4 linked regions of the Macaca fascicularis genome follow. The protein of the gene in region 3 interacts with the protein of the main gene of each other region in a biochemical or structural test. Links are inferred from orthologs where the notes say so. Each region holds a gene or a part of one and is shown on either strand. Other genes may lie near its edges. The genes, in order: UBE2A, PCNA, RAD18 and HLTF.

What was found.
Region 1: the proteins of RAD18 (region 3) and UBE2A form a complex in vitro, tested with the Homo sapiens proteins (12 studies listed by BioGRID, with this or other methods). The link is inferred for Macaca fascicularis from reciprocal best matches to the Homo sapiens genes RAD18 and UBE2A.
Region 2: of the proteins of RAD18 (region 3) and PCNA, one has a biochemical effect on the other in vitro, tested with the Homo sapiens proteins (21 studies listed by BioGRID, with this or other methods). The link is inferred for Macaca fascicularis from reciprocal best matches to the Homo sapiens genes RAD18 and PCNA.
Region 4: the proteins of RAD18 (region 3) and HLTF form a complex in vitro, tested with the Homo sapiens proteins (2 studies listed by BioGRID). The link is inferred for Macaca fascicularis from reciprocal best matches to the Homo sapiens genes RAD18 and HLTF.

What each region holds. Positions count from the first base shown.
Region 1 is NC_088395.1:125,918,278-125,925,740, reverse strand, and holds the end of UBE2A (ubiquitin-conjugating enzyme E2 A), read right to left. Parts: intron 4,262-7,463; coding exon 4,172-4,261; intron 3,182-4,171; coding exon 3,093-3,181; intron 2,308-3,092; coding exon 2,179-2,307; 3' UTR 1,016-2,178; downstream 1-1,015. UniProt on the Homo sapiens protein: E2 ubiquitin-conjugating enzyme that accepts ubiquitin from the ubiquitin-activating enzyme E1 and transfers it to a E3 ubiquitin-protein ligase. In vitro catalyzes 'Lys-11', as well as 'Lys-48'-linked polyubiquitination.
Region 2 is NC_088384.1:82,162,813-82,169,567, reverse strand, and holds the end of PCNA (proliferating cell nuclear antigen), read right to left. Parts: intron 6,362-6,755; coding exon 6,264-6,361; intron 6,173-6,263; coding exon 6,105-6,172; intron 4,839-6,104; coding exon 4,644-4,838; intron 2,772-4,643; coding exon 2,648-2,771; intron 2,567-2,647; coding exon 2,487-2,566; 3' UTR 2,163-2,486; downstream 1-2,162. Other genes in the region: TMEM230 (transmembrane protein 230), read right to left, coding at 168-235. UniProt on the Homo sapiens protein: Auxiliary protein of DNA polymerase delta and epsilon, is involved in the control of eukaryotic DNA replication by increasing the polymerase's processibility during elongation of the leading strand.
Region 3 is NC_088376.1:147,157,845-147,165,307, reverse strand, and holds part of RAD18 (E3 ubiquitin-protein ligase RAD18), read left to right. Parts: intron 1-273; coding exon 274-414; intron 415-3,740; coding exon 3,741-3,924; intron 3,925-7,463. UniProt on the Homo sapiens protein: E3 ubiquitin-protein ligase involved in postreplication repair of UV-damaged DNA. Postreplication repair functions in gap-filling of a daughter strand on replication of damaged DNA.
Region 4 is NC_088376.1:51,896,542-51,904,768, reverse strand, and holds the start of HLTF (helicase-like transcription factor), read left to right. Parts: upstream 1-4,045; 5' UTR 4,046-4,243; coding exon 4,244-4,263; intron 4,264-5,695; coding exon 5,696-5,903; intron 5,904-8,227. UniProt on the Homo sapiens protein: Has both helicase and E3 ubiquitin ligase activities. Possesses intrinsic ATP-dependent nucleosome-remodeling activity; This activity may be required for transcriptional activation or repression of specific target promoters.

The sequences.
Region 1 (7,463 bases), on a different chromosome or scaffold from region 3:
TTTAAAATGAGATGGGTTGCTCCTCAGAAGAAAGCAGAGTTTTGTTTAATCAAAGTGATTGAGGATATCTGTACTCCCAAATTTTACATAGGATTTAAAATACCATCTAGACTGGGCGCGGTGGCTCACACTTGTAATCCCAGCACTTTGGGAGGCTGAGGCAGGTGGATCATGAGGTCAGGAGTTCAAGACCAGCCTGGCCAACACAGTGAAACCCCATCTCTACTAAAAATACAAAAATCAGCTGGGCGTGGTGGCGGGCACCTGTAATCCCAGCTACTCGGGAGGCTGAGGCAGGAGAATCACTTGAACCCCGGAGGCAGAGGTGGCAGTGAGCCAAAATTGCACCACTGTACTCCAGTCTGGACGACAGAGCTAGATTCCATCTCAAAAAAAAAAAAATCTAGTAGTTTGGTACTGTTTTTTTTGAGCTAGGGCTTTTAAAGAGGTGGAATGTCAGGATCAACAAGTTAGATCTTGGTCTCTGAGGGTGCGTCTCGTTCTGTCACCAGGCTGGAGTGCAGTAGCACAATCTTGCCTCACTGCAACCTCCGCCTCCCGGGTTCAAGCGATTCTCCTGCCCTCAGCCTCCCAAGCAGCTGGGACTACAGGGGCGTGCCACCACGCCTGGCTAATTTTTTTGTATTTTTAGTAGAGACAGGGTTTCACCGTGTTAGCCAGGATGGTCTTGATCTTCTGACCTCGTGATCTGCCCGCCTCGGCCTCCCAAAGTGTTGGGATTACCGGCATGAACCACTGCGCCCAGCTCTGTATTGTTAATGTTTAAAAAGCATTACCACTTATGACTGGAAAGAAAAAAAAAGGTTCTCTCCAGAAGTATCTGTCTTTTCTTTTCCATTCCCAGAATGAGTATTTTTGCTTTTACCTTAATGTTTGAGGGGGGAAATGAGTAGATATGAGATCCCAATAAGAAACCAATACAAAAAGTTTATACTGAGCTAAAAAAACCAAACCAAAACAAACAAACCAGAAAAAAACAATGATACCTTGACTATGAAATTTTAAGGTTATTTTTATTTACAACTTTGAAAAATGTACATTTTTTTTACATGGGTTACTTGTGCAAAGTTAGATTTGGAAGTGATAAATGCATAAAAGGTGACAATAGAACATTAGACAAAACATTTACAAGCCTTGTCCCATACTGCTACTTAAAGGTACTATATATCTAAAAGTATAAATATCGAAAAACAGATTGCAGACGTTGGCTTTAAGGTTCTCAGATGCTGAAAGGGAAGAAATTAAAGCATGCAGCAATAACTCAGGATTTGAGTGGAAAACAGTTGGCCACAGATATGCTGTGTTCCCTTCCTTGAATTCATTAAAACTCTAAAATAAAGATGGACAATTGAGTTTATTCATCTAGGGCAGCACTGATCCTTTAAAAAGATTAAAGTATCTCCAACTTTCCCTAGCTCAAAAACTCATGCATGTTTCCATTCCTCTGCTCCCACACCTCTTTTAAAAAGCAAAAACCCAGAAGACCAATATTCTGAAACTTAGCATGAGTGTGCCCTGTCAGTAGCTTGCAAAGAGAGGATGTGTCAGTTACTACAATTGCTGTACTCCTTTAGCTGAGTCCTTCAACATTCTCCTTGCCAGTAAATACTATCTTGTAATTCATATGACTGAGATCTTAGTATCACAGGATTTTTAGCTCCCATTCCTCTTTCAAAATTGTTTACATGGATTTGTTTCTATTCTCTGTAGGCCATATTCCAAACACATTCACTTCTAAATCCAACACAAGTGAAGGACCAGCCAGGATGAAACACTCAGCAATCATTTCATTAAAAATAACATCCTGGTCATCAAGCTAAGCATAAGCACCTCTTGTATAACAATTCATCTTAAAAGCTTAAAGTACAGTAATAAAAATAACTGCTTGAAAACTGGAAATGAAATACAACAGAAAAACTGAAGCATTAGTAATTTTTGCAAGTAACCCAGGTACAGTACATTTGATTTCATAGAGGGTGTTTTCTGATGTTTAAGGAGAGGGTAGAAGGGGTAGGAAAACTTGGCAAGGAAGATGGAAACAGCACAACAGCTATTTTGCTTTTAATAAAGTAAATGTAATGACAGGAGTAGGGAGTGACAAACACATCAATATATATTTTTCTTATGGCCAGCTTCTTCTTTAAACTGTACCCGGGGTCAACAATCACGCCAGCTTTGTTCTACTATTGCAGAAACACGCTTTTCATATTCCCGTTTGTTCTCCTGGTACAGCTGAGCAGCCTGGCTGTTTGCTGGACTATTGGGATTGGGTTCATCCAATAGAGACTAAAGAGACAATTTTTAAAATGTCAGTTACTTAATGCAAAACAGCTATTTTATAAGGTAGTGACACTCAATTGAATTGTCCTAAGTACAGCTACATTTCTTTTTTTTTTTTTTTTTTTTTTTTTTTGAGACGGAGTCTTGCTCTGTCACCCAGGCTGGAGTGCAGTGGCCGGATCTCAGCTCATTGCAAGCTCCGCCTCCCGGGTTTATGCCATTCTCCTGCCTCAGCCTCCCGAGTAGCTGGGACTACAGGCGCCCACCACCGCGCCCGGCTAATTTTTTGTATTTTTTAGTAGAGACGGGGTTTCACCGTATTAGCCAGGATGGTCTCGATCTCCTGACCTCGTGATCCGCCCGTCTCGGCCTCCCAAAGTGCTGGGATTACAGGCTTGAGCCACCGCGCCCGGCCACATTTCTTGTCTTTAGCACGCAAACCCAGAGTTACATGAATCTGCTAGTAGCTAGGAAAACACATGTGGCTTGGGTCTTTTTTTTTTTTTTTTTTTTTTAAAAGAGAGATGGGGTCTCACTATGTTGCCCAGGCTGGTCTCAAACTCCTGAGCTCAAGCAATCCTCCCACCTTGGCCTGCCTAAGTGCTGAGGTTACAGGTGTGAGCGACTGCACCCAGCTGACTTGGGTCTTAATGGTCTACTTTTCATCTATAAAACAAACAAGCTTTGACCAAAAATAAAAAGGTCTATTACATTATGACTTTCAAAAACAATTCAATTGCTAATATAAACATATTAAAAGTTATAGTTCGTCACATTAAGGAAAAATTCACCTGTATGGATGTTAGAATGGAAGACACATCATAGGTTGGACTCCAACGGTTCTGAAGTATGTCCAGACATATACTACCATCTGCATAGACTAAGAACAAAGAAGTAGGTACATTAAACGTAACAAGACCACTAAGGTTTTAACATTATAGACAAAACAAAAATAGTCAAGAATACTTTGCTTTTGAAGTTTTAAAAAGATTCCTAGGTTGCTTCCCAGTTAACTGCCTAAAAAGATGAGTCATAACCACCACTAGTGAAATAATCAGGATGATCAGAGAATGTCAGATGTGATCAGCATAAAACTGGAAGATACTTAGTGTTCATCCTTTGGAAAAGACTGCCCTATTATCCAGGAAATCAAACATTTTTGAACAGGGTCCCTAGCTATCCCCAGACATGTGGGAAATTCATTCCACCAAATTTGTAGGCTGTATCGCCTATCTGAAATAACAAAAGATCGCTCAGAGTTCACAAGATTTCATTTTGACAAAAAGATAAAAATATCTGATACCCTGAAAAATACTTCATTAACCTAAATAAAAGGCAAGCTGTTCTAGGCTTACTACTATTTTAAAAAGTGCAAAGCGGTAAGTTAGAATCACCTGTGGTGCTTTTCTGACATACCGTATGCCTGGCCCTCAACAACAGAATCCTATTCAGTAGGTTTGGAGTGAGGCGAAGGCATCTGCATTTTTAAAATGTTCCACAGTAATTCTGATATGCATCCAATGAAAACTACTTTTCTAAACGCTAATGAAAATAATTACAACACAAGACTATCCCAATCTGGCCTAGCATTAAAAGGAAACCTCAAGAGCATCCTTCGTTTTGTTTAATAAGTAAATGACAAAGATCATCAAAATCAGGAGGCTCCCAGACTCCAAGCAAAGGGAAAATAACTCCACTGCTTCAGTTCTAGGACAAGACAGCCACAGAAAACCAAGAACAAGTTCAGCTTTCAGGAAGCAGCAAGCTGCCTAAACAAATACTCAGGCACCACAAAATACACAGGAAATGTGGAATACTCCATAATAAACACTATAGTAGTTTAAAACACTGTACTAAAAGTGATACTTGCCATTTGGATGGAACATCTTAGAGACAAATCTAACTGTAGGTGGTTTATTTGGATATTCTTCAGTGAATTCTATTGTAAGTTTAAATGTTCCTGTAGTTAGAAAAGAAAGATTTAAGAAAATGTATTTATCACTTTGTTCAGTTGTACTTTGTTTTTAATGCTATGTGGGTTTTTCCAAGTATTAAATAATGCAAAGATACAGGGTAGAGAGGAGAGGCCAGGTAAGAAATACATCTCTAGGAATTGCTCTAAGAACTACTCAAATGTGATTTTTTGTTTTGCCATTATTTTCCCCCAAACTTGAAGACAGCCATCATAAACACAAAATTACTGCATACAAGATAACTTTAGCCACTGTACATTTTGAAAACATCCTTAAAATAAGAAACTGGGCCCAAAATTTGGCCTTCCTCCTTTAGAAGACCAAAAGACCTCAAAGGCCTATTTTAGTCAGCTGCCATCTTCAACTATCCAGTGATTTTTAAACAGACTGGAAAGAATGAAGGCACAAAGGTTCAAAAACCAATGCCAGAATACAAATCCATAATCAAGCTATTTTTAAAATAGAAGAGAGTAAGTATAAAAGTGTTCACTCTGGTTCCTTTTCATGTCATAGTGATCCTATAATGAAAACTTAATTGAATTTAAGCCAGGAAAAACTTCATAGTCCTTCTCAGAAACCCTTAAGTATGGCTCATAAGGTACTTCACTATAAAATCAACTCAATTATTCACACATATGGAAGGAATTAATGGCAGAAATAATTTTAAAATCATATTTTGTTTAAATTGCATTCACGTTTCCAGCAAATTTATTTTTCTAATGTTTGTTTACACTACTATGGAAATGAAATTATTTTTCTTAAATATATGTCAACCTAAGGTAGCAGGAGGCCCTAAAGCATAGTAGGTTATAAACTTACTTACAAGGCATGGACAAACTGGATCTCATTCAAGAATTTTAAGATGTGATCTGAGGAGATTATGTCCTTTAAAATATTATTTTCAGGCCGGGCGCGGTGGCTCAAGCCTGTAATCCCAGCACTTTGGGAGGCCGAGACGGGCGGATCACGAGGTCAGGAGATCGAGACCATCCTGGCGAACACGGTGAAACCCCGTCTCTACTAAAAAAATACAAAAAACTAGCCGGGCGAGGTGGCGGGCGCCTGTAGTCCCAGCTACACAGGAGGCTGAGGCAGGAGAATGGCGTAAACCCGGGAGGCGGAGCTTGCAGTGAGCTGAGATCCGGCCACTGCGCTCCAGCCCCGGCCACAGAGCGAGACTCCGTCTCAAAAAAAAAAAAAAAAAAAAAAAATATATATATATATATATATATTATTTTCAATTGTTTGTTGAATAAATTCAAGAAAACAATTGAGCAATGTTTTTTCCTGACTGAAATCTGTTCAAGTAAACTTAAAAGAATCAGTTACTATATGGTATAAGGTGATGCATGTTCCACTGTATTACTCTGGTCCATTTAACAAATTATTCTAAAACAACAGACCACACTTCGGTGTATTTCTTACTGGTTCCTTCAGAGTTAGCAATTTATTTCCTTTTTGTTCTCATTAAAAGGTTTATCACTGCTTAAGAAAAAGAGAGAAGACTATAATCATTCTAGGACTAGATCCGTGACAAAGCAATATCAAAAAGTTTGTTTTTAGCAAGCTCATTGGAAACGATTTGCTAACAAAGCTGCCCTTAGTATGAACAAGTGTCTCAAAGCTTCATAGTAATATAAAATGCAACATATAGAGACATTATATTCCTCAAACTATTGTTACTCCCTATTTTCTTTTCAAAGCCAGACCTGAAGATACTATGTATTATAACTAAGGAAAGAAAGTAAAATCTTATGGAATGGACAAACATATGCCCTTTAGAAGTATGGAAGTATGTCCATCAGAATATACTTCACCTTTATCACCACCTGGTCATAAATCGTCCTCTTTCTGAGGAAGAAAGCACAGTTCTTCCTTTTCAGTATTTATTGACATTATAATATGCAAGAAAAAGCGGGAACGTGTTAGAGTTCCAAACTTTGAGTTTCCTTATGTATTATGATCTCAAGTGTAAACACACTTGGATCGATGTTGCAATCTGACCAAATTATGAGTAAGAGACGCTGCTCTAAAACTGGGAAGATGTAATAGCACATGGACATCCCAGCTACTTTAAAGCCATCACTAAATATGATATCTAAAGGTAGTAAAGCAAGACACAGGGAAGCCATAAGCAAAAACAGTACAACATACTGGCTAAGAGCGTGAGCTCTGCAGTCAGACAGGTCTGGGCCCAAGTCCTTGCTTTGGTACTTACTAGCTGTGAGACTTCGGGGAAGGTGTGCTCCTTGACTAAACCTTAAGTTCCTCATTTGTAAAATGAGATTAATAATAGTACCCACCACACAGCATTGTTGTGAGGTTTAAATGAGAGAAATATGCATAGTGCCACAAAGTTAAGTGCTCCAAAACCATGAGCAACTATTTTTGCTATAATAATTCTAAAGTTTCACATCTCTAGACTCAGCTGAAAGAGGCAAAACCCAAAAATCAGAACTTAACTATCAGTAAGAAATATACAATGAAGGCATTCAGATATTAAACAGTACTTTTAGGTCTACATCAAACACTCACAGTGCAAAGCAAGTTGAGTACCTATGTTGGTGGCTCACAAGTTCCTTGACTTGAGCTTTCTGCATACACTTGCCCAGAAGTTCAACTAGGTGATTACCTAGCTACCAAAGAAGTTAATCACAAGTCTTTTAAAACAGTTCACTTAATATCTTGAGAAGTGAAGCAACCTATTTATGTCTACTTGAATATAAATTAAGACTTCACCCAAATCTTATTCAAGGTACACATTAAAAAGAGGGTGAAAACTTCACTGCACTTTTAGTCACATTAATCAGAGCCTGTTTAGTATAACCTTCGATGTAATTTCTAAGCTCTAAACAAATGTTAAGGGAATTTAAAATCCCAGAATTAGTAGTATGCAGTCTGAGACTAGAGCTTACTCTCTGAATATTTAGAAGGCTAGGCTTTAAAATAACTGAAAATGTATGCCTCACCATGGTTGTACATAATGTATACTAATTTTGTTCATCTTCCCGAGGCTAAAACATCGTAAGGAAAGTATCCATTAATCCATCTATACAGGGAGACCACCAAAATTACATAAACGTGTTAAGTTTATATAATTTTGGTGTATGGCAATAAGGAGTGATAAGGTTGAACTAGAGGGAGTATATGTTCTGCCTGAAGACATTGACAAAGTCCAGTTTTGGAAAA
Region 2 (6,755 bases), on a different chromosome or scaffold from region 3:
ATAAATAAGAACCGACGAGAATTTAGACGTAAAACAAACTGTGCCAGGGAGGACGAATGCCCCACACGGATGACTCGGAGCTTGATTTAGGCGGGAAGCGCGGTCTCGGACACGCCCAGAGCCCAAGAGGACGGTTCTGTCCCCGCGCCGTCGCACACACGCCTTACCGGAGCGCCGCGCCAGGCCGCCCGCACACCCAGAGCTCGCCCACGGTTGGCAGCGCACGAGGTCGCATGGTACGGCCCGCTTAAGGGCCACTCAGCCCACCCCAGCCGGGATCAGTGCGCCGGAAGTGGCGTGCCGGAAACAGGCGCGTCGGAAGTTGCGTCTCCGGAAGCGTTTGTTTCCTCAACCAGCTTCCCAGGCTATCACTTACCGAGTATCAGCTGCAGGAGGCATCGGGGCTGCACGGGCCGAATGCCGATTCGTGGGTTTTGTTTAGGCAGCCACGACCTGTGCCCGCCGCCGGCTACCTCCACTGTGGCGGGCGAGCACCTAGGGTCCTCGCCCACCTGGGTCACCGTCAGGCCCAGGGCAAGCCAGCTACGTGGTTTCTCCCTTCCTTAGAACGGGCCAGGCTAGAGAGCGCCATGGCTTCCCAGGGAGGCAGAAGCCGAGTCCGTCGCAGCCTCAGGACCAGAAGTCAGTGCGGCCAGATATCCGCTGCAAGGCGCCAGCCTTCCACGGGCGCTCGCCTTCAACACCCCACTACCACACTTCCCTTGAATAGCACACTTGTAAACTGTGCTGTCAATACCCCACTATACTTCCCTTGAATAGCTCCACAAACTTGTGCTTATTTTCAGGCCTTGTCCAGGTAAAAGGCCTGCCCACAAGGGACATTTTGCTGCACATGAAGCTTTTCAGAAAGTTGTTTATTAAGGTATAATTTATACACAAGTACAAATAGATGAGCTCTGAAAATACGTATGGTCCTAGAACCATCACCAATCTAGATGGAAATACATCCATCACCCCAAAATTCCATCAGCCTCTTTTGCAGCCTGTTTCCTTCTTCACTCAGAGGCACACTGTAGGAAAATGAATACTTACTACTGGACATGGTTAATTCTCATGTCCAGTAACTAGAACTCAGTCCAAGTAATTTAATAAAGAAACTAGTCATTTAATCTACCAAACAAAAATGTACTGGAAAAAAAGATTATGATAAAGCAATTTTAAAAAATGCTTTTTCTAAAGCCAAATTTAGCAGCGGGGGTTGTATACCTACTTCAGTGACACTAATGTAAGTTCTGATAACCTACTACTATCAAACCAGCCAAAAATATATGTATTTTTGAGATGGAGTCTCACTCTTGCCCAGGCTGGAGTGCAGTGGCATGATCGCGGCTCACTGCAACCTCCACCTCCCGGGTTTAAGCAATTCTCCTGCCTCAGCCTCCCAAGTAGCTGGGACTACAGGCATGCGCCACCATGCCTAGCTAGTTTTTTTTTTTTTTCATTTTTAGTAGAGATGGGGTTTCACCATGTTGGCCAGGCTGGTCTCAAACTCCTGACTTTAGTTGATCCGCCTGCCTCCCAAAGTGCTGGGATTACAGGTGTGAGGCACTGCACCACGCAAAAAATTAATACACAGCACAGTTATCTTACAGCTATTAATGGGAATGTTTTTAAGTCTTTCTTCGTAACTTCAGGGCTTTTTCACTTTCTTGGTTGGATCCAACATCCATGGAATTTAAGACATCTTCATCCTTTATGTGAGTGAAGTTGCAAAAAGTGTATTTATAATAGAGAAATTTTGCAGAACCATACTCCTTGGGTCCCATTACAGATCTACTGAAACATCAAAGACTCTTGTAGGACTCCCTAGGCTAAAAAGAAACACTCCATTAACATCCTTATAAAGCCAACAAGACTTTGGGTACACGAAGCTTCTGAAGAGTATTAACTTTTGCCAAGTAAAATGAAATACACAGGATTTGTACTACTCTCACTTGTTCCTCGTCCTCAAATTGGAATAACAAGTTTGACAAGCGAATCCCCCTAAAATATCTAGTAACCTACTGTATTTGAAATCCTTTTGATCTACATCAGGCTGCTCTAAACTGAAAAACCATTTACATGAAAGGGTAGCTGTAGCTGGGAATTCAGTAGGATACTTCCAACAGTCCTGGTCAAAATGAAGGCACTGCCCTGTGATGTTTGAAATTCAAGTAACTTTATTTAAATTCAAAAACAATTCTAAAACTGCATTTAGAGTCAAGACCCTCTTGTATTATAAAAATCACATGTATTTCGAAGAGACAAAAATACTTCTAGGTTAACTAGACCAGATCTGACTTTGGACTTTATTCTTTAAACAAATTGCAGAGAATAGAGAAAAAAATAGGTTATTTACAGAAAACAATATCTACATATGTACTTAAAAGTACAAATTTGGTGACAGAAAAGACTTCAGTATATGCTGGCATCTCAGAAGCAGTTCTCAAAGAGCTTAGTTTTATTTTCTTGAATTTTAAGAATGCCTAAGATCCTTCTTCATCCTCGATCTTGGGAGCCAAGTAGTACTTCAAATGTCCCATATCAGCAATTTTATACTCTACAACTGAAAGACCGGAAGATAGTTAATTACTGAGGAGTATCACATATACTACCTACAAAACAAGGTTCAAATTTATTATCTTACCAAGGGGTACATCTGCAGACATACTGAGTGTCACCGTTGAAGAGAGTGGAGTGGCTTTTGTAAAGAAGTTCAGGTACCTCAGTGCAAAAGTTAGTTGAACTGGTTCATTCATCTCTATGGTAACCTACAAGAGAAAACAGAAGATTCATCATTGAAAAACATCAAGAAAGTTGCAATCTATTAGCTTGCATTTATAAAAACCCACAAACACTTTTATTAGTCACTTTGGAGGGAGCTATGAAAATTTTGAAGACTGATGCGTAAAGCAAAAGAATTGAGTATCTAGCTCGTCTTTCCTATAATTTAGATAACCAAATTATATAATATGGGAAAGCTTTTCTTTATGGAAATTCTTCTGATAAGCAGCTAATAAATGAATAAAACGTATTAATTTCAGCTCTGCAAACTCTAATGACTTAATGGATCTAGACAATGACTATTATAGCTGCTAACACTGCGAAGACGTCCAGACCCCTTGTGCCTTCTACTAGAGGCACACACCACCACCTATAAAGTATTCGTGCTCTCTCACCCCCGGCCGAAACAAAACATCCTGAATATCATCAAGGCTCCAGGGCTATAGCTACCAGTCTGTAGGACACAGGGTGGAAGAATTTACGTATACACAGGAATGCAATCAGCAAAATCCAAACTCTGGAAAACTTAACAAATCATCTAATTTCTTCAACAAATAGACTGTAATGGAAGGGGAATAATGAAATTAGAGGAAACCAGGCTAGGTGTGTTGGCACACACCTGTAGTCCCAGCTACTAGGGAAACCAAGGCAGGAGGATCAACTTAAGCCCTGGAGTTTGAGGCTGTAGTGAGCCATGACTGCACCACTGCACTCCAGCCTGGATGGACAGAGCAAGACCCTGTCTCAAAAACAAAGAAAAACAGAAAAAGAAAAAAATAAGGTTAGCAGAGGAGCGGAAATGTGATTCAGGAAACAGATAAAGAATCAGCTCCTAGCCTTTATTAATTAAAAAAAAACAACTTCCAACTGAATTTTACAACTTTATTTAAACTAAATGTTGACTACCCATTCAAGGGACAAGAAAGCAATATATAGTATTTATTGTAAGCTTGTAATATGCCAGACACAGCATATGCTAAGCTCTTTAATGTTACCATATTTAATCCTAACAAGCTTATGAGATTAGGACCTTCGTCCTTGATTTACCAAGTTTTAATTTATGCTCAGGTTACCGAGTTTTTTTTTTTTTTTTTTTTTTTTTTTTTTAAGATGGAGTCTTGCTCTGTCACCCAGGCTGGAGGGGAGTGGCATGATCTGGGCTCACTGCAACCTCCACTTCCTCAGTTCAAGTCATTCTCCTGTCTCAGCCTTCCGAGTAGCTGGGGTTACAGGTGTGCACCACCATGCCCGGCTAATTTTTTCTATTTTGGTTAAGCAAGGGCTCTCTAAGTACTCTCAAAGTTGCACGGAGTCTGCTTTCTAGCCTTAGTGAGAAGTCTTCCTGTTTAACCTTTGATTCCTACAGCCTGTGACTTTGGCTAAATTGTCACTTAAGATTGCTCAGCCTGCTTCTCCACCTTTAAAATGGGCTACCAATTGGACCCACAACATGTACGCTAATATAAGGATTACATAAGTGCTCCTAACAGGTAGACTTTTACTCCTAACCATACCCTTCTATAGAGTTGCTGTTCTATGCTTATTTGGTAAGAGTAAGTATCTCCAGAAAGCTAAAGGTTAGATGCCTAGCTTCCCAATCCTACCCTTAAGAGCCTGTGTGGGCTTGATCCATAAACCATTGTTCTGTGGTATGTACACGTGCTGAATTTGTATTCCCTTCTTGCAAATATAATTCTAAATTGGATGACACTTACAAATCAGTTGCAGATTTCAACAGTATCTCAATTTTCAGAAATTACTTGGGATCCAATTCTGTCTACTTTTAATTTTAGCAATTAACCTAATAAGCAGTATTACAATTCTCTTCAAACTATTTTTTTTACTTAAAAACTACTTACAGCTTCCTCCTCTTTATCGACATTACTTGTCTGTGACAATTTAATGTTTCCATTTCCAAGTTCTCCACTTGCAGAAAATTTCACGCCGTCTTTTGCACAGGAAATTACAACAGCATCTCCAATATGGCTGAGATCTCGGCATATACGTGCAAATTCACCAGAAGGCATCTTTACTACACAGCTGTACTCTTGTTCCTATTAAGAACAAAAATTTTCCAAAAGTTAATTGTTAGAAATTTAATGATTTGGCACCCTCACTTTCTTAAAAGGCAACATCTAAACAACTCAGAATCAAGATTTTCTGATTACTGACTCGTGTAATTTCTTAACAAACTCCACTCAAAAAAAATAAATGGCTATTAAATGCACTGCCCAGGGAACAAGCGCCTCCTCCTCCTCATCCTCCAGGGATAAAGTAAGAGAACATTAGAGTATGCCACAGAAATGATGACGGCGCAAGCAGGTCTAACTATTTTCTAAAAGAAAACGAGAGAATATGATATTAGGCATTTTCAACATTCCAACATTTCTTCTCTCCTTTGGTGTTTATAAACCTAACCTGGATACATTTCTTCTAAGATAGCTTTCAAACCCACTTAATAAAAACCAAGCATCGGGCCGGGCGCGGTGGCTCAAGCCTGTAATCCCAGCACTTTGGAAGGCCGAGACAGGCGGATCACAAGGTCAGGAGATCGAGACCATCCTGGCTAACCTGGTGAAACCCCGTCTCTACTAAAAAATACAAAAAAAAAAAAAAAAAAAAAAACTAGCCGGGCGAGGTGGTGGGCGCCTGTAGTCCCAGCTACTCGGGAAGCTGAGGCAGGAGAATGGCGTAAACCTGGGTGGCGGAGCTTGCAGTGAGCTGAGATCTGGCCACAGCACTCCAGCCTGGGCGACAGAGCGATACTCCGCCTCAAAAACAAAACAAAACAAAACAAAACCAACCATCCTAGAAGGAAGCAAATTTTAAAAGAGGTTCATGGAAATTAATGCAAATAGACAACTGGCAGTAAACAATAAATTTAACCAGTGAGTTTTAGACTTGTGGTAAACAACTATCCAAATACTAAAATCTCTTTAAAACATGCACCAGTAGATATGTTTCTAGAAAAAGTTCTGTTATGAAGTAGGCTTAAATTATATTAACTTATCTTGACGGAGGAGGATCATTGAGGCCAGGAGTTCCAGACCAGCCTGGGCAAGACTGCCCCCACACCCACACACAAAAATAAAAAAATTAGCCAGGCGTGGTGGGACAGATCTGTAGTCCTTCCTAGCCACTTAGGAGACTAAGTGGATTGCTTGAGCCCAGGAGTCCCAGGTTACAGTGAGCTATATGGCACCACTGCACTCCAGCCTGGGGAAAAGAGGAAGACCCTGTCTGTAAAAATAAACAACATTCTATGACATAACTATCATGCCTGTGTACAGCAGTCGCTACAATCAGAAACTGATACTCACTGGAATTCCAAGTTGTTCAACATCCAAATCCATCAACTTCATTTCATAGTCTGAAACTTTCTCCTGGTCTACCAAAAAAAAGCAAATGCTGTTGAGAAACACTGGCACAGAGTTTCGATCTTCTGTAGCTTCATAACTCAGTAAAAAGGTACGACTTACTGGGTGCTTCAAATACTAGCGCCAAGGTATCCGCATTATCTTCAGCCCTTAGTGTAATGATATCTTCATTGCCGGCGCATTTTAGTATTTTGGACATACTAGAAGACAGGAGACACATGGTTTAAAATCAACACCATCTACTGAAGGTCTGTATTTCTAATGCAGTTAGAAGGGGTTACCACTCTCACCCATAGGCCGTCTCAGAACTGGTGGAGGGTAATTGCACTGCTGGAGGATGCGAATATTAATGCAGACATTTTGGGATGCATCTGGCAGTATTTATACTAAAATACCACCAGCAGTTTCCCTTCTGGATAGAAACAATCTCCTGCCACTAAGTAGGATGACAGGCTGACACTTTTCTCGCAAGGGCACATTATAAAGCATTTAAAGTCAATCGCGACTGAGCCGGGAGGATCGCCTGAGCCCAGAAGTTGGAGACCAGCCCGGGCCAACACATCGAGACCGTCTCGGAAACAAAAAAGCCACAAC
Region 3 (7,463 bases):
TCAGCCTCCCAAAGTGCTGGGATTACAGGCGTGTGATACCACGCTCGGCTAATTTTTTTGTATTTTTAGTAGAGATGGGGTTTCACCTTGTTGGCCACGCTGGTCTTGAACTCCTGACAAGTGATCCATTCACTTCGGGCTCCCAAAGTGCTAGGATTACAGGCGTGAGCCACCACGCCCATCCCTTGTACACCTCTTGGTATTCATTTTGTCAGTTGTAGATGGTTAACTTTCATTGTCCTAGCTTTACTGTGAAGATCTTTTGAATTTCAGGTAAGAAACATAAATGTGAATTTCAGCTTCTGGTGGATCAGGCTAGAAAAGGATACAAGAAAATTGTTGGAATGTCACAAAAAACAGTAACAATAACAAAAGAAGATGAATCTACAGAAAAGCTATCTTCTGTATGCATGGGTAAGAAACTATAATTAAAAACAGACATATGTTGAATTTCATTATTTACTTTTAATATGAAAAGAAAATTAAACCAAGGAAATTTACTTTGGAGTTCCTACTTCTTTGAAATGAGGAAAAGTATTTTTAGACAAACTTCATGTAGCAGTTTGTAAACTAGATTTATTACTGTGCGGAAAATGGTTGGAAGAATGTCCTGAAGAAACAATCTCTTTTTGTCTATCATCCTTTCAGTTAATGACAAATCATAAATTTCTTAGTTATTTAAGCTTGAGGATGTTTTCTAGGTGTAGAATTTATTGGTGGAGATCCTGAGAGATCCTGTAAGAGAGTGAATTATTTTTGTGATAGAACACTGGTGTTTACTTTGGATGAAATGTTCTGCCAAACGGTCTAAAGCTAATATACTGGTAGGCTAATACAGAGCACATTCCTTAACTTTGATCCATTTTAAAATTTGAAATTAATATTTTAATTCTATTGCCTGGGCTTTGGACCAGTGAACAAAAAAGAATCATAATGGGGGAAAGTGTGCAAGAAAATTCCTTATCATGTTTTTCTATACTGTGGCAAAATATATATAATACAATATTTATCTTTTTAACCCTTCATAAATGTATGTCATTGGCATTAAATACATTCACAATATTGTATAACTATCACCAATGTCTATATCCAAAACAATTTCATCATTCCCAGCACAAGCTCTGCACTCATGAAATAGCAACTCTTCCGTCCCCTCTGCCTCATAGCCCTGGTAATAACGGTTCCACCTTTTGTGTCTATGAGTTTGCCCATTCCAGGTACCTCATATAAATGGAATTGTATAATATTTTCTTTGTGTGTTGACTTCTTTCTCTAAGCATAATGCTTTCAGAGTCCATCAGTGTTGTAGCATATTTTAAAATTTCTTATTATGATTAAACAGTATTCTGTAGTATGTATATGCCATATTTTGTTTATCCATTTATCTGTTATGGTTATTTCCACCTTTTGGTAATTATAAATAATGCTGCTATGAGCATTGATGCTCAAATATCTAAGTTTCAGCTTAGAGTGGGATTTCTGATTCATATACTGGTTCTATGTCTAACCTTTTGAGGAATTGTTAAACTTTTCCGTAGTGGCTGCATTATCTTACATTCCCACCAGCAAAGCATAAGGGTTCCAGTTTCTTCACATCCTTATCAACGCTTGTTATTTTCTGATTTTTAAATTTTTTTAAAATTGTAGATGTGAAATGATATGTAATTGTGGTTTTGATTTGCATTTCCCTAGTGACTAATAAACAATTTGTGCATAAGGTGCTGCCTCAGTATGTAACTCATGGTCTTTGAACAAATCGAACTTGTTCATGCAATTGTGAAAGGATATTTCTAGAAACTAGTTTAGCACTTGAGAAAATCTGACTGAATATTTCCCATTAAGAAAACTTTTTTTTATTAGTTGAACCTCTCTTGAATATCATTGATGGCTTGTATGTATTTATGAACATCAGTATTACTCTTTCTGGGGTTCAAAGGTGATTGCTGCTTTTAGATTGCTGTGCATGAATGAGATGTCTGAGAGGGTAAGGAATGTGAGAGAGGTGAAGACAGACACAGACTGACTAAAAAGATGAATTTTGTATAGCATCATACAACCAATATAATTGTTGCTCTTTAGGACAAACATTGAAGTGCTCATGTAAGTGAACAAGTTGCATATTCTCTCAAGTGAAAACTTAGCCTGTTTTTGTTGTGTGTCTCTGGGGAGCTCTGATGTCTGAGCCTCACTCCTGAGGCTCTATTTTGAAGTCCTGCATTCTGAGATCTAAGGGCAGGTAGGAAGGATAACTTATTTTTTATGCCTACAGATTATTGAATGCTGTTTGTCCCCAAGAAGGAATATATTGTCTAGAAGTGTATGTAAGAGTGGAAGAAGTAAGAAAAGAATACAGACAATGTGCAAAAATAAAAGATTGTTTTCAGTTGAATTCCTGTTCCCTGGTTTGCTTTTTTGCATGCGCCTCACTAGTTGAGTAATATAGTCCCTGGGTGAACCGAGTTGACTGGGGGATTGGCTCCTCTTAATGTGATCCTGGTATCTGTTTACAAGAGGAGTTCTTAGAGGTTCAGGATGGTCATCCTGGCTAACTTCTTTTTCTCTTTTCCAGATATACTTTAGAGGGTGCTGTTTTGTTTTGCTAATGATAGTTTATTGATAGCCAGATGACATTAGGAGCATATTTTTAGGAATTATACTCTTGTGAAGTATGCTGTTCTCCCGCTATAACAAAAACTTAGAACTATTTCTGAAAAAAATTTGACTGTGTGAACTTGGCAAGGTTTTTTGAAGAATGTGTTATGTTCTTTCCCCATAAATTCTCTCTGTATAACCAAACCTTGACAATTGTATTTTTATTGTGCTTCGTTGAAGACCACTTGCCTCTACAAGTGCTTGAGGAGTGATGTGTGAAAGCTCTGTTTCTCTGTGAGGAAACACATGAAAGGAGCTCTGTACTATTATTAGCACGTGTAGCTTGCATGCGAAAGTACCTCCTCAGTTCCTGAAAGTTAAGGACAGCACAGATGAAAATCCCAGCAGAGTTTATGATGAGTAGGAGAATCCTGGGCACTAAAGAATCTTTCGCAGATATTCTTCTCGCTCATATTTGTAGAAAATTGGCCATTCCCATATGCCACATTTTTGTAAACACTGCATCCTTCCAGCTTTTTGGGGTCTTTATTTTTATCTGCAATAAGAGACCTTAAAAGCTGAGAATATGACAAAGAATGCATGGAAATGTGATGTATATTGGATCAAATGGAAATATTCCTTATGTCTGATTAGTTGTCCTTTTCCATAGAGAATAATTAGATTCTATTTAACAGGTTTAGAAAAATGTCCAGATAGATTCACTATCATATAGTAGTGACAAATATTGTGGTTGTCTTATTAGTTGAATCTGTAGTCTTTTTTTTTTTTTTGGTTATACATCTTACGTTGGTTTGTCAGTGTTCTCTGATCTATGAAATATGCAAGAATTCCTCAGTGATATGTTAATAGATGCCTCATTAGAATTACAAGATTCTTCCTGCTCCTGGTTTTAAAATAAATTTTATTTTTAAACTAATTAATCTTGGAAAAACATGGGCTGGATAGTATAATTAGGTAGCACCATTGTAGTGTTAATTCTTGCTCTCTGGCTGTCACTAGAGTTCTGGAATCAATGTGACATATTCTTCAACTTTACTAAGTGCATATGGTAGTATTAAGTGTTGCAGAAGTAATAGGCGTACAGAAGTTGTAGATTTTAACGTACTCTTAAATTTATTTTTTCCTAGGACAGGAAGATAATATGACCTCAGTAATAAACCACTTTTCTCAATCAAAGCTGGTAACAAACCACTTTTCTCAATCAAAGCTGGACTCCGCAGAGGAATTGGAACCTGACCGAGAAGAGGATTCTTCTAGCTGTACTGATATTCAAGAAGCTCTTTCTTCACCAGAATCAGATTCATGCAATAGGTAAGAAACATGCAGGAGTTGATTATTTTAAATATCTACCTCATATGCACACATAGATAGTTAGGCAGAAATAATTAGAAAGTAGCTTTGAGGCATGGTATGGTGTGTCACTCTTACATTTCAGTCCCCTTTTACTGCTGGGTCATCTTCACAGTGGTAACAAGGCAGGATTTGGGAAGGAAGTACAGGGATCAGAGGGTGAGTTTGGTATAGGCTTTATATAGCCTTTTTATAGATATAAAAAGGCTCTATAGCCTTTTTATAGATATTTTTCCTACCGTTGGAAAAGAAAGCATGATAGGCAGTGAAATTTTTGTCAAGACAATGAGTGAAGGAGATAAAAACAACTGTATTGGAAAACAGAGATGATCAGAAAGACATGGCACATAGGAGAGTTAAGAAATGAAAAATTTAACTGAGTAAATAGATGGGGAAACTTTAAAAATGAGAAGTTTGGTAATGAGTCATTTTGAAAAGATATTTTAAAAATATATAGGGTTTATTTTACACACACACATGCATGCACACATACCATTTTTTCTGGTCTTTCACTTAATATGTCATAAATGTTAACATTTCTATAGGTTGGCACAAAAGTAATTGAAACCACAGTTAATTTTGCACCAACATAATACCTTATGTTTATAATTGTTGTTTTTAAATGAGTACAGTATTTTGTTATGTCTCTGTACCATAATTTACCAGACCCTTCAGTTTCTGTTAGAGCTCTGCATTTTTTCCAGTGTTCTACTTACGTGCCTGATGCTATGGTAAAGCTCTTCCTTTGTTCCTATTGAATACTTTTTTTTTTTTTTTTTTTTCATTTTTTCGAGATGGAGTTTTGCTCTGTTGCCCAGCCTGGAGTGCAGTGGCGCAATCTCAGCTCACTGCAATCTCTACCTCCCAGGTTCAAGCATTTTTCCTGCCTCAGCTTCCCAAGTGGCTGGGATTACAGGCCTGTGCCACCTCACCTGGCTAATTTTTTTGGTATATTTAGTAGAGATGGGGTTTCACCGTGTTGGCCAGGCTGGTCTCGAACTCCTGACCTCAAGTGATCCACCCACCTCAGCCTCCCAAAGTGCTGGGATTATAGGCGTGAGCCACCATGCCTGGCCACTTTTCTTACATTTATTATTCTGATAGGTAGGCATTGCCTTCCGAATGAATTGTACTGATTTAAAAAATGCTACCAGCAGTATGTCAATATGAGTGTGTCTTGGAAGTTATTTGATCTTTGGTGTTAGTTTATTTAAAAATTAGTAACATTGCTGTAGAATGATAGACTATTTCTAATCTAACTAATGGAATTATTAGTACATTTTTTATTAGTATACCCAGTGACCCTCTGTTTTTGTAGGATACCTGGGAAACAGTTTCAAATTAGTCAGAATGAAGTATTAGGAAGGAGAAATCTTCCCATCTCATTCCAAAGATTTTCAAGATCAAAAAATTATATTTCTAGTTGACTGAGGGTAAAACATAGGGTTGCGTGATTTGTTATCGTAGATCAGGCCATTCCTGCAAGTCCAGTGCAGTATTTGTTTTTAAACACACATGTAGGAATACAGAAAAAAAAAAATCAGAGTCAGGGGAATAAGAGTTAGATTTTAACCATAGTCATTAGATGCTTGAATGTTTTGGAATGCCAGAATGATTTGGGACATTTGAGAATGGCAAAAACTGAAAGGGAAACGTGGGGCAGTCAGATGTCTTTATCTGGTTGTGAGAATATGGGAAGTGGGGCGAGTTTGTTGATGTCCTAGCCTCATTCAGACTTGTTGGCATCACTGAACTATGAGAGGACTATGGGAAAATGTCATTGCTTTTAGGTATACCATGGCCGAGGAACTAGGAGAGCAAGCAGTAGTCTCTGGGTTTAATAAAAAAGGTAAAGGAAATATGGCTGAGGGAAATATGGAGTAAACTTTATTGGGTCAATTTACTAAAATGGGTTAATCCAAAGGCTGATCATTGTAACTCATTACTCACTGAAAGAATTGAAAAGTACTTTCACACTTATCCCCAGTCACATATTGCTCCTGCTGCTACTTCATTAGGGGATTAGCCTTTTCTCATTATTTATCTTCCTACTGACCAAGATTCTGGGTAATATTATAAGTTTTACCATCTTTAATGATTTCCTCTTGATAGGAGTCACATAGGGGTATCCTTATACTACATTGTGAGGTGATCCTTTTGTTAGCAACTGAACGTAAGTACAGTGATGCTAGATTAACTTTTGTTCTCTGTCCATCACAGGGTCTGACATTACACTGTTGCACTCAGCCATTCAGCAAATATGTATTGTGTTCCAGGCACTATTCTAGACACAGCAGTTTATCAGGGATGAAACCATCAAATAATTTTTTAAAATGTAAGCACTTATATTCTACTTCACATTATAATTAGTTGGTAATATATGTACATATTTCTGCATGCACACACACGTACATGGCTCAGTGGAAGTACACACTAATTACATATTTTAACAGTTTTATTGAGATACAATTCATATACCACACAGTTAACTATTTAAGAGTACAATTCAGTGGTATTTAGTATATTCACAGAGTTGTACAGCCATCATCACAATTTTATAACATTTTTATCACCCCACAGAGAAACGCTGCACCCATTAGCGGTTACTCTCCATTTCTTCCCAAACCTCCTGCTCCAAGCCCTAGACAACCACTGATCTTCTTTATGTCTCTATAGATTTGACTCTTGTGGACATTTTATGTAAATGGAATCATACAATATGTGGTCTTTTGAGATTAGCTTCTTTCACTTAGTTTGCTCTCAGAGTTCATCTGTGTTGTACATGTTTCAGTACTATATTACTTTTTATTGTCAAATATTTAATTTTATGGATATACATTTTATTTACTCATTTGTTAGTTGATGGACATTTGAGTTGTTTCCAGTTGCAATTTTAACAAGGAAAAAAATCACCAAGTTTGCTTGCACACTGTGGAAGCTTAGCTTTAGTGATGGTATGTAAGGATTTACTAGGCTTGCTTTGAGAAAGTGGGCAGTGTCTCCTCTAGTACTCATGTCTTAAATTGTACTACAATACTAAATATTTACTCATTGTAAATATTAAGTATGGTAATCTTTACATTTTTTATTTTATTTGGGTTCTTTTTTATATCTGTTTCTGAATCATTCTGCTGTTTTATCAATCCTAAGATCTTTAAGCTTAAAAGGTGGAGTCTATTTCTTGTATAAGACCTAGAAACTGAGGCTAAAGGGAAAGTGAGAAAGAAATGGACCTTAAATAATGGTGTTGGTTTAATATCAGGACAGACCACTTGGCAAATGATTCAAGAGTAGATTGTAAGAGTGAGCATACAGCAGGAAGCAGCTATGGGCTAGCAGGAAAAGTAGTTGGCTTTAAGTTGATGGATTACAGATCAAGTTCTGCCGGGTGATTTTTGATTCAGTCTTTTGAAGTCCATTTCCACATATCTTAGAGAAGCACATTAAAATATCTTATGTCTCAGATCTGTTGGGAAAATGAAATGAGATAATAGATGTGA
Region 4 (8,227 bases), about 95 Mb from region 3:
TAGACTTTCTAGCACTCTCCCTTTGTGGAGATTGGCCCAGTGTGTATTCCAGGTCTTCTCTCTAAGACTCACTTAAGGGATTTACTCTGCAAACCCTCCTGCCTGTCATTCTTGAAAATTCTCCTCAATTGAACTGTTATCTCCTTTGCAGCAAAAGAAGCGAACAAACAAGCAAGCTCATAAGTTCATCCTACTTTCTTTAGTCTATGAGTTATGACATAAGCTTAGAAGTTTCTGTATTGAAACCAGACTTCTAGATATTCAGATTCTTCTCTTAAAGCCCCTCCCTGCTGCCTGGTCCCCACCCCCACACCAATGGCTTTAAAATTCTATTTTGCAAAGTGTAGAAAACATTTTTTTTTTTTTTTTTTCCGAGAGGGAGTCTTGCTCTATTATCCAGGCTGGAGTGCAGTGGAACAATCTCAGCTCCCATCTCTGCCTCTTGGGTTCAAGTGGTTCTCCTGCCTTAGCCTCCCAAGTAGCTGGGACTACAGGCGTGGCACCATCATTCCCTGCTAATTTTTGTATTTTTAGTAGAGACAGGGTTTCACCATGTTGACCAGGCTGGTCTTGAACTCCTAGCCTCAAGTGATCTGCCCGCCTCGGCCTCCCAAAATACCAGGGTTACAGGTGTGAGCCACCACACCCAGCCTAGAAAAGGCCTAGAAAAAGTGGCTCACACCTGTAATCCCAGCACTTTGGGAGGCCAAGGTGGTGAGATTGCTTGAGCTGAGTTCGAGACCAGCCTGGCCAATGTGGCAAAACCCCCTCTCTACAAGCAATACAAAAATTAGCCTGGGGGTGGTGGTGCTGTGCCTGTAGTCACAGCTACTTGTGGGGCTGAGGCTGGAGGATTGCTCGAGCTCAGGAGGTTGAGGCTACAGTGAGTCGAGATCGCACCACTGCACTCCAGCCTGGGCTACTGGAGTGAGACAGTCTCAAAAAAAAAATTTTTTTTTGAGACAATTGTGAAAATTTGATTATGAACTAGTTATTAGAAGATACTAAGAAGTGATTTATTATTAATTTTGCCACGTCCGTAGTTTTTAGAGAAATTAGTGAAGGCCATTATCGGCAGGGTGGGTTGGGAAGTGACCCGAGAAATGAAGCTACTGTGGGAGGAAGAGCCACATGTGCCATTCTTGGATTTCAGGCTCACAGAATCAAACAGGGGAGTGACATGACATGATTAATTTGCATAAAGGTTCTGTGTGTGTGTGTGTGTGTGTGTGTGTGTGTGTGTGTGTGTGGCAGGGGGGTGCAGATGAGAAGTGTGTTTGTGACTGGGAAGTGGCTGACTGGAGAAATTTTGGATTCCTTTCCTTTCCATACCATTCCTACCCAAATTTATCAGTAAACCTTTTGGTTCTCTTGGCTTCATCACTTTCCCTTTCCAAGCCACCACTATCTCTTATCTGAACACAATAATTTCCTATCAGTTGCTTCTATTCTTGTTTCCTGTAATTCTCCACAGGGCTGCCAGCATTTTTAAAAGCCTAAATCAAGTCATCCTCCTGCTTGAAACATTCAATGGCTTTCCATTGCAGTTAAAACACAGTCTTTACTGGAGACTCTTAAGTTCCTGTGTAATCTGGACCTTATCTTCCCCACCATCCTTTTAGTGCCACTTTCCTCCTTACTTACTGGCCAAACCCCACAAGCCACCCTACAGTTCATTTTCCAGTTACAAGTGTTCATTTTTCATATGTACATGTGATGCTGTTATTAGAATAAATCAAGAAAAAACCAAAAAAGTTAATTTTTCAGAAAACATTATCTAGTATAATAGTTCTGAAATTGTAATTGCTGTAACATTTTAATCAAACTAGTACAAATTGTACTTGATCTTTGAAAATAAAACAAAGAATGATTAAGGGAAAGAATGTTCTACTCCTGGTTCTGAGATGTGAAATACTGATAACATAGAGAAAACTGTTGACTTTAAATAGCAAATTTTAGTTCATTTAAAGCACATTCTTTAACCATGGGACAGTCATTATTGATAGATCTTAAGTCTTTTTATTTTTTTGAGACAGAGTCTCACTCTGTTGCTCAGGCTGGAGTGTGGTGGCTTGATCTCGACTCACTACAACCTCTGTCTCCTTGGTTCAAGCGATTTTCCTGCCTCAGCCTCCCACGTAGCTGGGACTACAAGCGTGCGCCACCACCTCTGGCTAATTTTTGTATTTTCTTAGTAGAGTCGGGCCTTCACCATGTTGGCCAGGCTGGTCTCGAACTTCTGACCTCAGGTGATCCACCCAACTCGGCCTCCCAAAGTGCTGGGATTACAGGTGTGAGCCATTGCGCCTGGCCAGTCTTAAGTCTGAAAGAGCTACGTTCTCACATTTGGAATTTTTTCTTTGTCTAGTAAGCCTGACTTTCTTACTCTTACACACAAAACATCAATTTGAGCAATATCTGGCATATTTTCCAAGAATTTATTTAAAATCTGGCATACCAAATGCTGAACTGTATTGCCATTTGCCTCAACACACTTCAAGAAGAACATAAAACAATTAAAATAATTTGAAATGCCATTGTCTTTATCTTCTTCATCAACTTTGGTCAAATGAAATAATATATTGCTTCAAATTCTATTACTCATCGAAGGTTCATGATTACAGATGACTACAGTTTATTTACGATAATGAACAAATGTCTCTCTTGAAAAGCTGACTACCGGCCTGGCACGGCGGCTAACGCCTGAAATCCCAGCACTTTTGAGAGGCCGAGGCGGGCAGATCACCTGAGGTCAGGAGTTCAAGACAGCCTGGACAACATGGTGAAATCCCATCTCTACTAAAAACACAAAAATTAGCTGGGCGTGGTGGCGGGCGCTTGTAATCTCGGCTGCTCGAGAGGCTGAGGCAGGAGAATCGCTTGAACCCGGGAGGTGGAGGCTGCAGTGAGCCAAGATCGCACCATTGCACTCCCGCCTGGGGGACAGAGCGAGACTCCGTCTCAATAAAAAAGAGAAAAAACAGAAAAAGAAAAAAGAAAAGAAAAGCTGACCACCTAGTATTATTGTGTTGACGGGCGTGTAATGTGGACCTCTCTGTGACGGGCAAGTATTCTCTGGCAGTTACACGGCACCGCCTGTGCAGATCGGCGCCATCACCGGCTTCCCGCCCTGTGCGATTAAAAGGCCACCTTCGGGGACAGCAGCCTCCTCTCCATCCCCAACGCGCAGGGACCAGCCCTGATAGGCGTGGGCTGCAGCTGGTCCAAGGCTGACGGTCCCAGGGCTGCATTCTCCTTCCAGTCACCTCAGACTCTGGAAAGCGAGCCGTGGAGGGCCTCAGAGCGCCCCTCTGCAGTTCCTTGGGGAAAACAAGGGTCTCCCCAGCTGGGCTGGAGCAGCCACGTGCCCACTGGGAAAAGGGTCCTGTCCACCATTTCCGGCAAACGCCCCCATAGCTGTGATAAACATGTGATGGCTTTCCTGTACCAAGAAAGGAAAATTTTCCTTAAAAATAACGAAAAGAGGTGGGGAGGGGACTCTAAGTTCCATTTAAGATTTTCCAAACTCGTTGTGTCTCATCCATACGCTGAGGCTTAGCATGAAAATTTGGAGCGAAAGTCCCCAGGGTTCACCACAGGGAATGAAACAAAGTATCTCGCCGGTAGCTCCAGGTCTCGTAAACCGTGGAGCTCCTTCAGTATAACGCCCTATTACGTGCCACATTAGATGAGGAGGAAATAAGAGGAAGGATACGGTAGAGGCTTTAGAATGGGGTTGAGTCTTAGGACTTGTGGGGTAAAGGAAAGTCGTTTCCCTCCGTTTAAGGCAGGGAATCAAACAAAACGCCGGCACCGCAGGCACCGCAGTCGCACTCCTGGGGCCTCGTGGCTTTCCCGCGCGCCCGCCTTGGGGGCGGGGAAGAACCCGGATGGAACCACCCTTGCAGCCGGGACCCCCCGCAGTCTTTGAATGGCAGCGGGGCGGAGTTGCCCTCCCTTCTGTGCTCTGATTGGTTTGGCTCCGCACTCTTCTCTTCGTGATTGGGCTTTCCTAGTGCCAGTCACAGAGCGACGCTGGTCTCCCAGATTGTTGCTAGAAGGAGACAGCGTCGACGTCTGACTAGACTCGCAGCGACTTATCTTTCAGTCGTACGCTCCTTATCCGGCGCTCGGAATTTGTTCCCGGCTTCAGGGCTGCGGGACCTGGAACGAGGCGTATCGAGGCGGCTCGAGAACGATCCAGGGGAGCCGAGGCGCTCCTCTTGTCATCCCACTCAGCGCCATGTCCTGGATGTTCAAGAGGTGAAGGGGGCGGAGGGGGTGGGGCGCTGGGGCTAAGGGCCTGGAGGCGTCCCCAAATGAACCTGACCTTCCCCGCGTTCCTCCACGTTCCCCGGGCGATTTGTGCAGCTGTATTCGTTCTGTTGGTCGCATATGTGGCCGCGGGAGAAATAAATGCATTGTCTTGGCTGGCGAGTAGGGGCTATTAGGGCGAGTCTCGTGTTAGGGACTTGGGAAATCTCTGTCACCGACTGTGGGGGGCCTGGGGCTTAAAGCCTCTCGGCCCATGCGTTATTCAACAAAACATCCATTAGATACCCACTGTGCGGCAGGCATTATGCTCGGTGGAGGGCCGAGTAAGCCAGCCGTTGTCCCCAAGTGGCTCACAGCTTATGTGTATGCACAGACGTGCAGATACGTATTTGCAGAGGAGCTAATAGAGAGAATGCGCCACTTGCAAGGAAAACGCAGCGCAAATAAGCGACTGTTCTTAGGAGAATGGAAACTTTCTGCAATGCTCCAGTAGACTTCCCCTCACTTTTCATTGTCCAAATTGGTTTTTATGGTCATTCCCGAAACAGTTACACGTAACGGGTTTGGGGTAATGCTTAAACCAGCGACGGGAGGCGGGTACGGGTGGCTTGGGGCCAATTTCCCACGGTGGCGTGGCTTAGATACCAGAATAAAGTAAGTGTTCTGCTCGGAGGGAGTTACAGTGATGGATGCTGGATGTATTTTCTGGAAAATTATAAACAACTTCGTATACAATAGTAGTTGTATTTTTGTAAGTCTTTTGTAGCTGAATCCCTATTGAAATTTTGGCATATAATTTTATTTTTTTAATAATTTATATTTTTGAGATGGAGTCTCGCTCTCTCGTCCAGGCTGGAGTGCAGTGGCACAATCTTGGCTCACTGCACCCTCCGCCTCCCGGGTTCAAGAGATTCTCCAGCCTCCCGAGTAGCTGGGATTACAGATGTGCGCCACCACGCCCGGCTAATTTTTGTATTTGTAGTAGAGACAGGGTTTCACCATGTTGGCCAGGTTGGTCTCAAATTCCTGACCTCAGGTGATCCACCTGCCTCTGCCTCCCACAGTGCTGGGATTCCAGGCGTGAGCTACCACATCTGGCCCATAATTGTATTTACAGACATCATATACATTTCAGTTTAGATGATTTTCACTAGGAAAGATATTAGTGAGCTCTGACTAGGCTTTTCATTTTGAATTCCTAGGGGGCAGGTAGAAGAGCCAATATTGAAAACAGGTAAAGTTCCCGGGAAGCCTTCTCCACTCACTGCAATTCCTGCTTTAACGAGAGTAACTAACTATTAATCTTTACTGTGATTCCCATGTAAGATTTCATTTGCTGAAGTAAAGCATGAGAAAACCACTCATATGGTCTTTGGAAGTACTTAAATACTGTTTTTCTTTGCCTTTAAAAAAAAAATAGGGATCCTGTTTGGAAGTACTTGCAGATTGTGCAGTATGGAGTTCATGGAAATTTTCCACGCCTCTCATATCCAACTTTCTTTCCACGTTTTGAGTTCCAAGATGTTATCCCTCCAGATGACTTCCTAACTAGTGATGAAGAACTAGATTCCGTTTTATTTGGAAGTTTGAGAGGTCATGTGGTTGGACTACGCTATTACACGGGAGTAGTGAGTATAATAGTAGATAACTAAATTAAATTTTGATTATATTTGTGGCGTTAATCTAGAAAATAAGAGAATTAGCAGGTGATGTGTACGGTTCATCTTTATTTTACTTTAAGTTAATGAAATATTTGTACCCCAAAAATAAAAAATACCTCAAGTGACCCTCCCACCTCAGCCTCCCAGAGTGTTGGGATTACAGGAGTGAGCCACTATGCTTGGTCTCAGTGCGTTATGTTTAGTTATTATGGGTAACACCCCGCCCCCACACCCCAGTGCCTTGTTCATGTCATCGATTTGTTGCAAAAAGGAGGTAGTTTTGTGAAATCTTCTGGATTTTATTCTTTCATTTCTCCGTATGTTTCTTACTTTTAAGCTTCTTAAATCTTTTTTATTTTTGGGTGTCTGAAGCATGTTCAGCAGGAGATTCCTTGGGAGTTTCATGTTCTGGATTTGTTTTTCTCCTATATTTCCTTTACATTGGAACTTTACAAGTTGTTTTTTGATTGTCTGAAATGTGTTGTCTAGGAGATTCCTTAGGGAGAAACAGTATTTCCTAAGTTTTTGTCATAATTGTGGCATTTTATGAATGACAGTTTCATAAAATGAAAGTTGTGAAGGACTTAATGACAGTTGGGCTGAATTTAAAATCTTTGTAATATATAGTTTCTCTCCATATCCTAATGTTGTATAGAATTTTCAGGCCAGTGTGATTTTCTCTTTCACTTAAGAGAATTGGATTTTTTTTTTTTCCCTTTTTTTTTTGAGACCAAGTTTCGTTTTGTTGCCCAGGCTGGAGTGCAGTGGCCTGATCTGGCCTCACGGCAATCTCTGCCTCTCAGACTCAAGCAATTCTCCCACTTCAGCCTCCCGAGTAGCTGGGACTGCAGGTGTTTGCCACCATACCCAGCTAGTTTTTGTATTTTTTTTTGTATTTTTTTGTAGGTTTTGGTATGTTGTCCAGGCTGATCTGGAACTCCTGGGCTCAAGTGATCCGCCCACCTTGGCCTCCCCACGCGCTGAGATTCTGTGCCCAGCCTCTAGTTTTTTCTAATAGATTCTTGAAATCTATCAGTTCTTATTTCGTATCTATGTATTCTCTAGCTCTCATATGCATTTCTGAGCTTTTCTGTTTCAGATTTGTGCTAATTTTTCAAAACTTACATTGTTTTCAATAATTATTTTATACCACCATGAAATACTAGATTATGGTAGTTATTGATCTTAGAACAATCAGTATTTTGGATCTGAGAATAATCTCTGTGACCTCGGTAAGCTAGTGTGTGTTGAAAAAATGTAATCATCAGTTTTCTTCTTTTGCCAAATATATATATTTTAAATTTTATTTTTTCCAGGAACACTGTGTTGAGATATCATTTATTTTATAGTTAATACATGTTCTTTTTTTTTTTTTTCCTGAGACAGAATCTTGCTTGTGTTGCCCAGGCTGGAGTGTAGTGGTGCAGTCTTGGCTCACTGCAACCTCTGCCTCTCAGGTTCAAGCGGTTCTTCTGCAACAGCCTCCTAAGTAGCTGGGATTACAGGCATGCGCCATCACGCCCAGCTAACTTTTTGTATTTAGGAGAGATGAGGTTTTGCCATGTTGGTCAGGCTGGTCTTGAACTCCTGACCTCAGGTGATCCACTCACCTTGGCCTTCCAAAGTGCTGGGATTACAGGCATGAGCCATCGCGCCCAGCCGTGTTCATTATTTTTAAATGGCTAAAAAAGCATTAAATCTTCTAAAGTGTATCATTCAGAACCGTAACTTATCTTCTACACTTGTGTTGAGTATATGCATGTAAATTGGAATCATATTACATATTAATAAAAATAAGATCATATTATCCCTAATGTGATTAGGAATATCATCTATATTGGACTTATAATTTCCTTATTGATGGACATTTTTGAGTTAATCACTATTATAAAAAAGTAATAAAAATTGAGGTACTATCTTTGCATACTTGTTATTTTAAGTTTTGTCTTCTTTATTGAGATGTGGTTTACATATGATAAAATGTACATATTTTAAGTGTATGATCCTAGTGTTTTGACAAAGATGTATACCTGATAACTATTACCCCAATCAAGATACAGATTGTATCCATCTCCCTGAAAGTATCTTGTATCCTATTACAATCATTTTTCCCTGCTCCTGCCCTAGGCAACTGCAAGTCTGATTTCTATCGCTATAGATAAGTTTTGCCTATTCTAGAACTTCACGTACATTGAATTATACAATATGTACTATTTTAAGTCTGGCATTTTTCACTCAGCGTAATTTAAGTACTTCTTTGGTCAATTTTGGTTATTTATATTTTTGAAGAA